2 linked regions of the Solanum lycopersicum genome follow. The protein of the gene in region 2 interacts with the protein of the main gene of each other region in a pairwise test. Links are inferred from orthologs where the notes say so. Each region holds a gene or a part of one and is shown on either strand. Other genes may lie near its edges.

What was found.
Region 1: the proteins of homeobox protein ATH1 (region 2) and T6 interact in binary tests that used the Arabidopsis thaliana proteins (3 or more experiments, as listed by UniProt). The link is inferred for Solanum lycopersicum from reciprocal best matches to the Arabidopsis thaliana genes ATH1 and STM.

What each region holds. Positions count from the first base shown.
Region 1 is NC_090801.1:61,370,673-61,374,988, reverse strand, and holds the start of T6 (homeobox protein knotted-1-like LET6), read right to left. Parts: upstream 2,804-4,316; 5' UTR 2,505-2,803; coding exon 2,154-2,504; intron 1,912-2,153; coding exon 1,647-1,911; intron 1-1,646. UniProt on the Arabidopsis thaliana protein: Required for shoot apical meristem (SAM) formation during embryogenesis. Negatively regulates ASYMMETRIC LEAVES1 (AS1) and ASYMMETRIC LEAVES2 (AS2 or LBD6). Probably binds to the DNA sequence 5'-TGAC-3'. Binds to RNA.
Region 2 is NC_090807.1:54,833,853-54,838,212, reverse strand, and holds the start of homeobox protein ATH1, read right to left. Parts: upstream 2,860-4,360; 5' UTR 2,213-2,859; exon of another isoform or gene 1,356-2,212; 5' UTR 1,220-1,355; coding exon 119-1,219; intron 1-118. UniProt on the Arabidopsis thaliana protein: Transcription factor which may be involved in the signal transduction pathway downstream of the COP1 gene. Controls floral competency as a specific activator of FLC expression. Is responsive of the nuclear import of SHOOT MERISTEMLESS (STM).

The DNA.
Region 1 (4,316 bases), on a different chromosome or scaffold from region 2:
AAAACACCAACTACATAATCCAATGACTTAAACAAAAGTATAACACATCAAGTAGGTTATATGATACAATCCAATAAAAGCTCCAAATCTAATCAAGAGTATTTTATGGGTCTCACTAAAAGGAAGGTGCATTTCTCAATTTTGTCTTGTATCTTTCTATTCTTTTAAAGTGTCTAAAAGAGGGACCTCATGGAATTATGTCGAAAGATTGTAACTATTTGTGCGATACAGCTAATCGTTCAGCCGATCAAGGACTTCTTCACAGACCATATATGAAACTTAAGTGCTTGCTAAGATGGATTGGAGCTTTCCAAGTTAAACAAATACAGATTGAAATCCAAATACATACAAACTATTGCCATTAGATGGAAGTTCCTTTTTCAGTGTTTATTTAGCTTATACGGTGTAACATTTAAGCATTCGTAGTTATGAACCATTTCCAAGACAACCAACTAATTCAGCACATCTTTCCAAATACCTAATAGATTTAAAATCATCAAAAACACTACTACTTAGCAACAATAATAGTTATAGAGAGTGATTCCAGTAATATAAAGATTACTTGACGTTAATTTGTGGGGTTACCAATCAACACAATTAACGAGAGAAACATGGAATGAATAACCTTTTCCAAAACTCAAAAGTCTTATATTTTAAACAATCAAAGCATGAAACATAAACTCAACTAACTTTGAGAAACATAACACCCACACATAAATTGAATTCAAATGAAAGCTTATGTTGAAAAAGACTTGATCAAAAGAAAGATAATGTAATAATCTGCTCCTTACAACAACAAACTGGTGTATCCAACGTGCAAAATCACCTAAGACTGGTTGGTATATAGCTATCTCCGCCACCCCCTCCCTTTCTACCTCAGTATACTTACAAAAGACCCTCAACACAAGAGAATCAAAAAATTTACTTCATAGAGTGTCAGAAGTAAAACCAAAGTAATATAATTTTGAAATTCATATTCACCATCATAATATATGCAGCTTCAATACAGAAAACTAGGGTTAATACATTATTATATCTTGAGCTAGTCATCAATTAATCTGTGATTGGCACATGATAGAACAAACAAAACCTGCACATGAATAGTAGGGGAAAAAAGCTGGAACAAGAAAGACATATTTCCCAGGGTCATTCCAAATAAAGAACAAGACAAGTTGAGTTTATTCAGCATACACAAGCATCCAGTTTGAAATGATTAACAAGGGACAAATATATCTTGCTGTTTACACTTACAACTAGCACCACACAAATATTATGAACATGTAGAACAAGAACCAAAATAAGATAATTATTCTTTTTCTTTAATATAAATTCCAGGTAGTATCCCTGGCAGATGTATTTCATTGAATATTGAGACAGAAACAAAACTATTTTAAAAAATCATTGTGAAATACAAGAAGGTAGAGTAAATTGATAAAAAATTGAAAATAAATGGTCTGCATATGGAATTGAGCTTATTTTATTAGTACATAATAATTAATTAATGACTGATATCATTGGAAACATGCACATGCAGAGGACATTAATTTATAAAAGAATAAACTCAAGTAAACAGTTAGGATCTGAAAAGAATAAATGTCACCATTTTAAGAAATGAAGAAAAAAAATTTGATATATATATATCTCACCAGATTCATGAGAAGAATTAGGTGCAAGAGTTAAAGCTTTGAACTGACACTCAATTCTTGAAAGAAAAACCATGGCTTCCTTGAAGGGTTTTGAGAGTTCTTGTTCATATTTTGTCAGCATCTCACAATAAGCCTCCATGAACTGATCTAGTGCAGGATCTTCTCCAATGATTCCACCACCACTACTACTACTGCTACGGCCCATTGTTGCTGACGTGGCACATATTTCCTCTAGCCTTGCCACCACTTCTGGCGGAGCTCCTATCTGCAGTTGTTAAAAAGAAGAAAAAAAAACTAGGTTTTTTCAGCTACTGTCCCTTTCACACACATGATTTTGTTTTCAGGGTTTTTTATTGAATTGTTGCAGAGAGTCACTTTCAAGGTAGAAAAAATCATCAAAATTTCAAGAAATACTAAAACCCATGTTAAAAAATATAATCTTTGAATTGTTGAAAAAAAAATGAATTTTTTTTTGTTGGTGTTAATTGGGGGGGGGGTGAATTTCACCTTTTGACAATTGAGATAAGCAGTCAAGAGACGATGGTAGTGAGGATGAGCCATAATCTTTGACTTGATGGAAGAAGAAGAAGAGTTGTTGTCTTCTTGAGGATTATTGTTGTTGTTGTCCATGAAAGGAAGAAAAAGGATGTTGTTGCTGCTTGTTTCTGCATTGTTATTGTTAGTTAAAGAAGGAGGAGGAGGAGGCATCATCATCATCATTGGAGGAGCACAAATTGTTACATTTCCATTTCCATTTCCATTACCATTTCCATTGTTGTTGTTGTTGTTCTCATGATCTCCATATCCCATCATCATTAAACAAGATGTACTAGTATTTCCACTAGAACCACCCTCCATTATTCTCTCACACACTTTCTTCTTCACTCTAAATTTTGTTCCTTTCTATTTGTTTTTGCCTATGAAAACCATCTCTCTCTCTCACACACACTGAGAAAAAAAAAAGAAATGGAAAAAAACCTCTGTTTAACAGTAAATCTCTCTTCTCTTTTTTACGAGGGTGTGTGTGTGTAAGTGATCTCCCGAGTTTTATGCTTACTGATATCAGGCTTTTTCACAGCAAATCCTTAATGGAATACATAGTTAGCAATACTACTAGTCAGAAAAAAAAGCAAACACACAATATTCCTTTTTTCTTTTTCTAAAAAATAATTAGTAAAAAACAGTGTATTGTTCACTTTTCTTTTCTTTTTTTTTTCTCTCTATAGTGTTGTAGCAAGAAGCAAAGACTATGAAAAACATGAACATGTTAAAGGGTTAGCTTGTATTTGGGTGCAAAATTTTTACCTTCCCAATGAAAACTCATACCCCTTTTTTCTTCACTGCCACTGAAACACTGTCATTATCTGCCAATATCCCTCCTCTCCTAGTGAGAGAGAGATATACAGTTTAATTTTTATTTTTAGATTAGAATGATCAAATCGAGGTGCAGTGTAATTTCTTCTGTGTTTTTATGTGTTTCTTGGTTTTTGGGTTATTGGAAAACAGACAAGAGTGAGAGTTCCTTACCAATATTATAACTTGAGACCTATTTGTCCCTTAATTGAATATGATTCTTTTTGCTTTGCTTCTTCTTTCAACCACTAAATTAAACTTTATATCATTATTTTATATTAAAAATTAGATTAGCGTACACATTATATTATACTAGTAGTAAATTAACAAAAATACTACTTTTCAAGAATAAAACGTGAAGAAAACTTATCTTTTTTAGAGGGAGAGGGGAAAAAAATAGACGCACAACAAAGGTGTGAATTGTGATGTGAGTGGATATAGCAGTAGAAAATCTTGAGATTCACATCTTTAAGAGACTAAGCTCTATGGTAGGTCTGACCAAAATCGATCGGTAAGTAAATAGTTAAAAGATCAAATATATTAATATTTTGAGCAATTAGAAAGATTAAATCCTATAAATGAATAGTTAAGAAACTATTTAAACCCTACTCGAATAGTTAAGAAACCGTCAATGACATTTTCTCTAGATTTTGGAGGAAGAATTTTTAAAGAAATTACAAATTGTTTTTTGTTCATAAACTTTAATCAATTTTTGACAATTTACATAAATTTGGATGAAATTTCATTTCACTTATCCTATGTATTGTTTTAAATCCTACAAAAATATTTCACACACCATTCAAACTTCAAAAACTGATATTTTCAAATTTCCATCTTAATTTTATAAGCACTTTCAAAATAAATTACTTAGATTGCTAATCACCTAAAAAACATTAAAATCAGACAAAATCATAAGTTGGTCATGTTTAATGTATAAATTTTCATTTATAAATATTTTAAATTTGATAAAATATATTTTAATCAATTTGGAATAGATTAATTTCTTGACTTTTTATTTGCATCTTCGAGAAACTTTTATCCCAATTTTTTTTTTCTAATTTTCAAAATACTCTTTCCAAATTGTGATGCTAAATCTCTTCCATTCCATATATCTTCTGTCGTAATCTTTTGTGTATATGTTTTTTAGTATTTATAATTTTTTAAGTAATAATTTTAAGGATATTTTAATTATTTTAAGGGAAAATTTAATAGTTTTCTTTTTTTTAAAAAAAAAGTTCAGGTTAAAATTCTTGAATAAATGAAAAGGAAAAAAAAATCTAACGAGTTGTTTAGAATAAAAATATTTGAAGAAAGATT
Region 2 (4,360 bases):
CAAAGCACAACATGACATAAAGATGAATAGGCAGGCATAGAGACAAGAGCAAGCCAAGAATTTTCAAAACAGATTGTCATAAAACCGAAAACTAATCATCAAATGCTTGTCAACTCACCACTTGCAACAAAGCTACCAGATTCTTTTTCTTAGCTTCACAACCCATCAGACCATCAGGTGAATCATCAGAACTCATGGCTGCATAGCCCCTTCCAGCATCTGAATTCAAAGCAAATGAAGTGTTTGCACCATTCTCCGTCCCATTTCCTCGATAGCCTACCAAGTTATGATTTTGAAGTGATAACTGAGCAATTTCAGAGAGTATTTCTTGCATTACACGGAGATATCTTGATCCAGTTAAGAATTGTGAAAGGTAGACAGGTTTGTATGAACCAAAGCTTAAAGACAGATTTCTGCTGTTGCAAGAAGTTAACTCTGAATCAAAGCGTCTTTGAGGGAAAGCATGGTTGGTTACACCGGAGCAACTTATATCCGAGCATTGGTCCCGGATAGTAGTCCCACATGCAACAGCAGATTGTGATGTTGTGAGACTTAGACAGAGGTCGTTGCTAAATCGGGAGGATCCAGAGGGACTATCAGAACTCAAACTAGCTGTTTCTGATGAGAACCATGTGTTTGAATTCACATTTTCAGTTAATTGGAAAGGCTGAGATCCTGCTCGTCCTACAACCATCCCACCAATTTCCGAAACACCATCAAACTCATAGTTTCTGTAGGATCCAAATGAATGATTCAACACATTAGGATAGTCTAGACCATCCATTTTCTGGCCTTCTGTAGGATGTGATAACGGAGCTAGTACCGCTAAATTTTCAGGATTCTCGTGCATAGCGTTCCTTGCAGCCAAAAGATTAGCAAGAGACACAGCAGAAATTGGTATACCTTCCATATATTGATCATCTGCGTAAGCATTACTGATTGGATAAGAAGTACTCACTGAATACTCTTTTATTCTGTTTCTCCCAACCGGCAACACATTATGAATTGCTTCAGTGTCAACAGGTCGAGGAAAATTAGGTACATTTAGAAAACCATGAGAGGTGTTTACGGCTTCACCTTGCAGCATAAAAGGATAAGGAATTCCATGTCCATCCATGATCTGGTTTTGATTGTTCATACAAACTGTTTCGGGAAAACTAATGGGAACAATAGTCGTATGAAGAAAATTTTCATCTATAATCCGAAGAGGCTCTGCCATTTCTAGTTGAAATTTGAGTTCCACATCACTTGAGGATTTTCTATGAAACAACAAAGACAAGTGATCAAGCTAACAACAGCAGCTCAATGAAACCTTGATAGTTCACACTTGTATACTTTTGGCTGAAAAGAATTGCCTATAACAAGAAAAATGTTCTATTAATACAACTTAGATAACATCTCGAAGGATTTTCTAGAACAGATGGATGGTAGAGGAAAACACCTCTACTAAATTTGATCATTTACATCCAACTAGTTGACTCAAAAAATTGCTTTAAACACTAAGGATGGGACAAGACATTTTCTCTTTTTTCTTGTTGTATAGTCATTACCATCCAACTTTTTTTTTTTGGTCTCTTTACATTGATCTGTCTATGTTAACAGAATTATTAGGCAGAATCATATCAAAAAGTTCATGTGCCTAAATATTACTATTTCAGTCCCACAACCTGATCTTGAATAACAGTAGAAAAAAATGGAAAACAGGCAATCTGCTGTTTGATGTACAAAAAACAAATATAGAGAGAATCAAACATACATATTTCATAACTCTTAACTCAGAACATACATCCATTAACTTCCATAAATCTCCTTATAATGGAGATGGTTAATTTGCCAAATTCAAACTAAATTGCATAGACTCTTCACTTTCCATGCCACGCTCTAAAAAAATATACTACAAACACATGTCTTTTGATATCTTTGAAGAGTCTAAACAATATACGTTAAAATAGGATAAATGAAACAAACATCATGTCAAAACAACAATTATCAAGGTTACTTCTCCTTTAGTCACAAATGAAGTGAAAGTGTTAGTCATAAATATGGGACATGTCAAGTAGTTAGATAGTTAGCTTATATGTACTTAATAATAGTAAAGCAAAGAACATGAAAGGGTTAAAAAAATAAAATTGTTTCACCAAATCATAATTGAGCTTATAAAACACATCCAAAATAATAATAATAATAATAGTAGTGAAAGAAAGAAGGAAACCAAGCTTGGTGCCAAACTTCCACAAACTGCAGCTTCTTCAAAATTCCTCTTAAAATAGAATTCCAAGGTTGTTGCCAAATCCAAATATAGAGAAAAATTTAAAACAAATCATTGGGTTTTTTTCCCTTTCACCCCAAACAATGTTTAATCAAAAGACCCCTTTTTCTCCCCTTTAACAATAATAAAAATAAGAAGGGTAAAAAAAAGAAAAGAATAATGGTAGGACTAGTACAATATATCAACCCCACAACACAAAACCCACCCCCAAAAAACTACAAAAAAAAAAAAAAAAGCAATGCAAAAAGTAAGATGTTTTGCTTGCATGAGGAAGAAAAGCAAGATTTTTATTCAGAACCCAACACCCAAGAAACTCAGAAAATTCAGAATCACCATCTTCCTCACAAATACATTATTTTATTAAAAAGAGGGTTTCTTTTTTTTGTTTTTTTGGGGGGTCATTATCCAAAGGGCATGAATAAATCACAAAGAAAAGGGGTAAAGAATGTGTGTGTGAGTGAGAGAAGTGTTAAAAGCCAAAAAATGTGCTTGTTGGTTTTGCAGAGAGCAGCTGAGAGATGAATAATTACATGGATTTATGGACCCATTATGAAAAGATAGCTAAGAGAAGAGCCACACAAACGCAAAATAATCATTCACATTTCATGCAATACTATACAATTTTGCAAAAAACATACTATAGTGTGCCTCATTTTGGGGCCATTTCGTTTGGATTCAACCCAAATATAACGTTACACTGAGTATGTACATTTTTACTTCATAAAGATCGAATATATTGAGTATGTTATTATTATTTAATTTATGCGTACTACAAAAAAGATAAATTTATTGAGACAGTCATGTTTTTGAACTAGTCCAATTTTAACTGAGCATATAATCACGATAAAATGTTTTTGTTATGTATATTCTTAAATATTTATCAAGTAAATAAATTAAAATTTTGCCATTTACACATTTGTGTCAATATAAAATCTCCAAAAAAAAAAAAAGATTAGTTAAGATTGTAGAATATAACTAAAGGAAACAATTTCATTTGATTAACTTAATTACATAAGAAAACGGACAATCGTAAATTTAAACGAAAAGGGCTCAATAGGAACACTTTTACTTACCAATTTCCTCTTAGTCGTCTCCATACTAATTACAACCCTAGTGTGTAATGCTTTTAACTTACCTTAATTTTGAAAAAGGTAAAAGTGATCAAACCTTAATTTTGAAAAAGGTAAAAGTGATCTAATTGATGAAGTATATCGGATGCTATATTCCACACAAAATAAGATTTTATGTAAAAAAAATTTGATTACATCCAAAGTATTTTGACATTATAAAAAAAATTGATTATACTTAATATGCGTTTGGCCATGCGATATCATATCAACGACATGGTATCGTGAAATGTAATCAGTATTTGGACATGTCATTTTATGTTGATTTCATTATATGATTCCTTATCATGAGATGTGATATCATATCCTCCAAAAACCATGATATCGAATCACATGGTGATGCCATATCATGATTTGAGATGTTATAATACAAAATGGCCAAATACATAAGTAGATCCCTAAACTTATTGGATTTTTTCCTTCATGTACCTCAACTACGTCATTTTCCTATTGAATTATTGAACCCCCATAATTTATTACGTCTAAACAAATACCGTTGTCTGATGTGGAATCAGATTTGTGAGGGGTATTGATAGAGGATACATATGTTGTTCCACAAATCATTAGTCCAATTGATAGTGAAAATGTTTGAAAATAATTGTGTTTTACTTTAAGTCATTTGAACACATTAGAAAACAAATGAGACTAACACAGTTTGTCTTTATTCTTTCAATCAAAATTGTTACAATTCGAATACAATTGAAGACATTTACAATAGAAAAGTTGATCAAAATCAACCAACAGTGTTTTAAAGAAACAAATTATGGGTGGTTCAATGATTCAATTGAAAAATGACGTAGTTGAGGTACCTGAGGAAAAAAATCCAACAAGTTTAGGAATTTGTTTATGTATTTGGCCATACAAAATTGATCCACGACTTTATATTTTGTTAAAACAACCCCACCTTTATAACTACTAACCATTTATTTTACATGTAAATAAAATTTATGATCACATCATTATA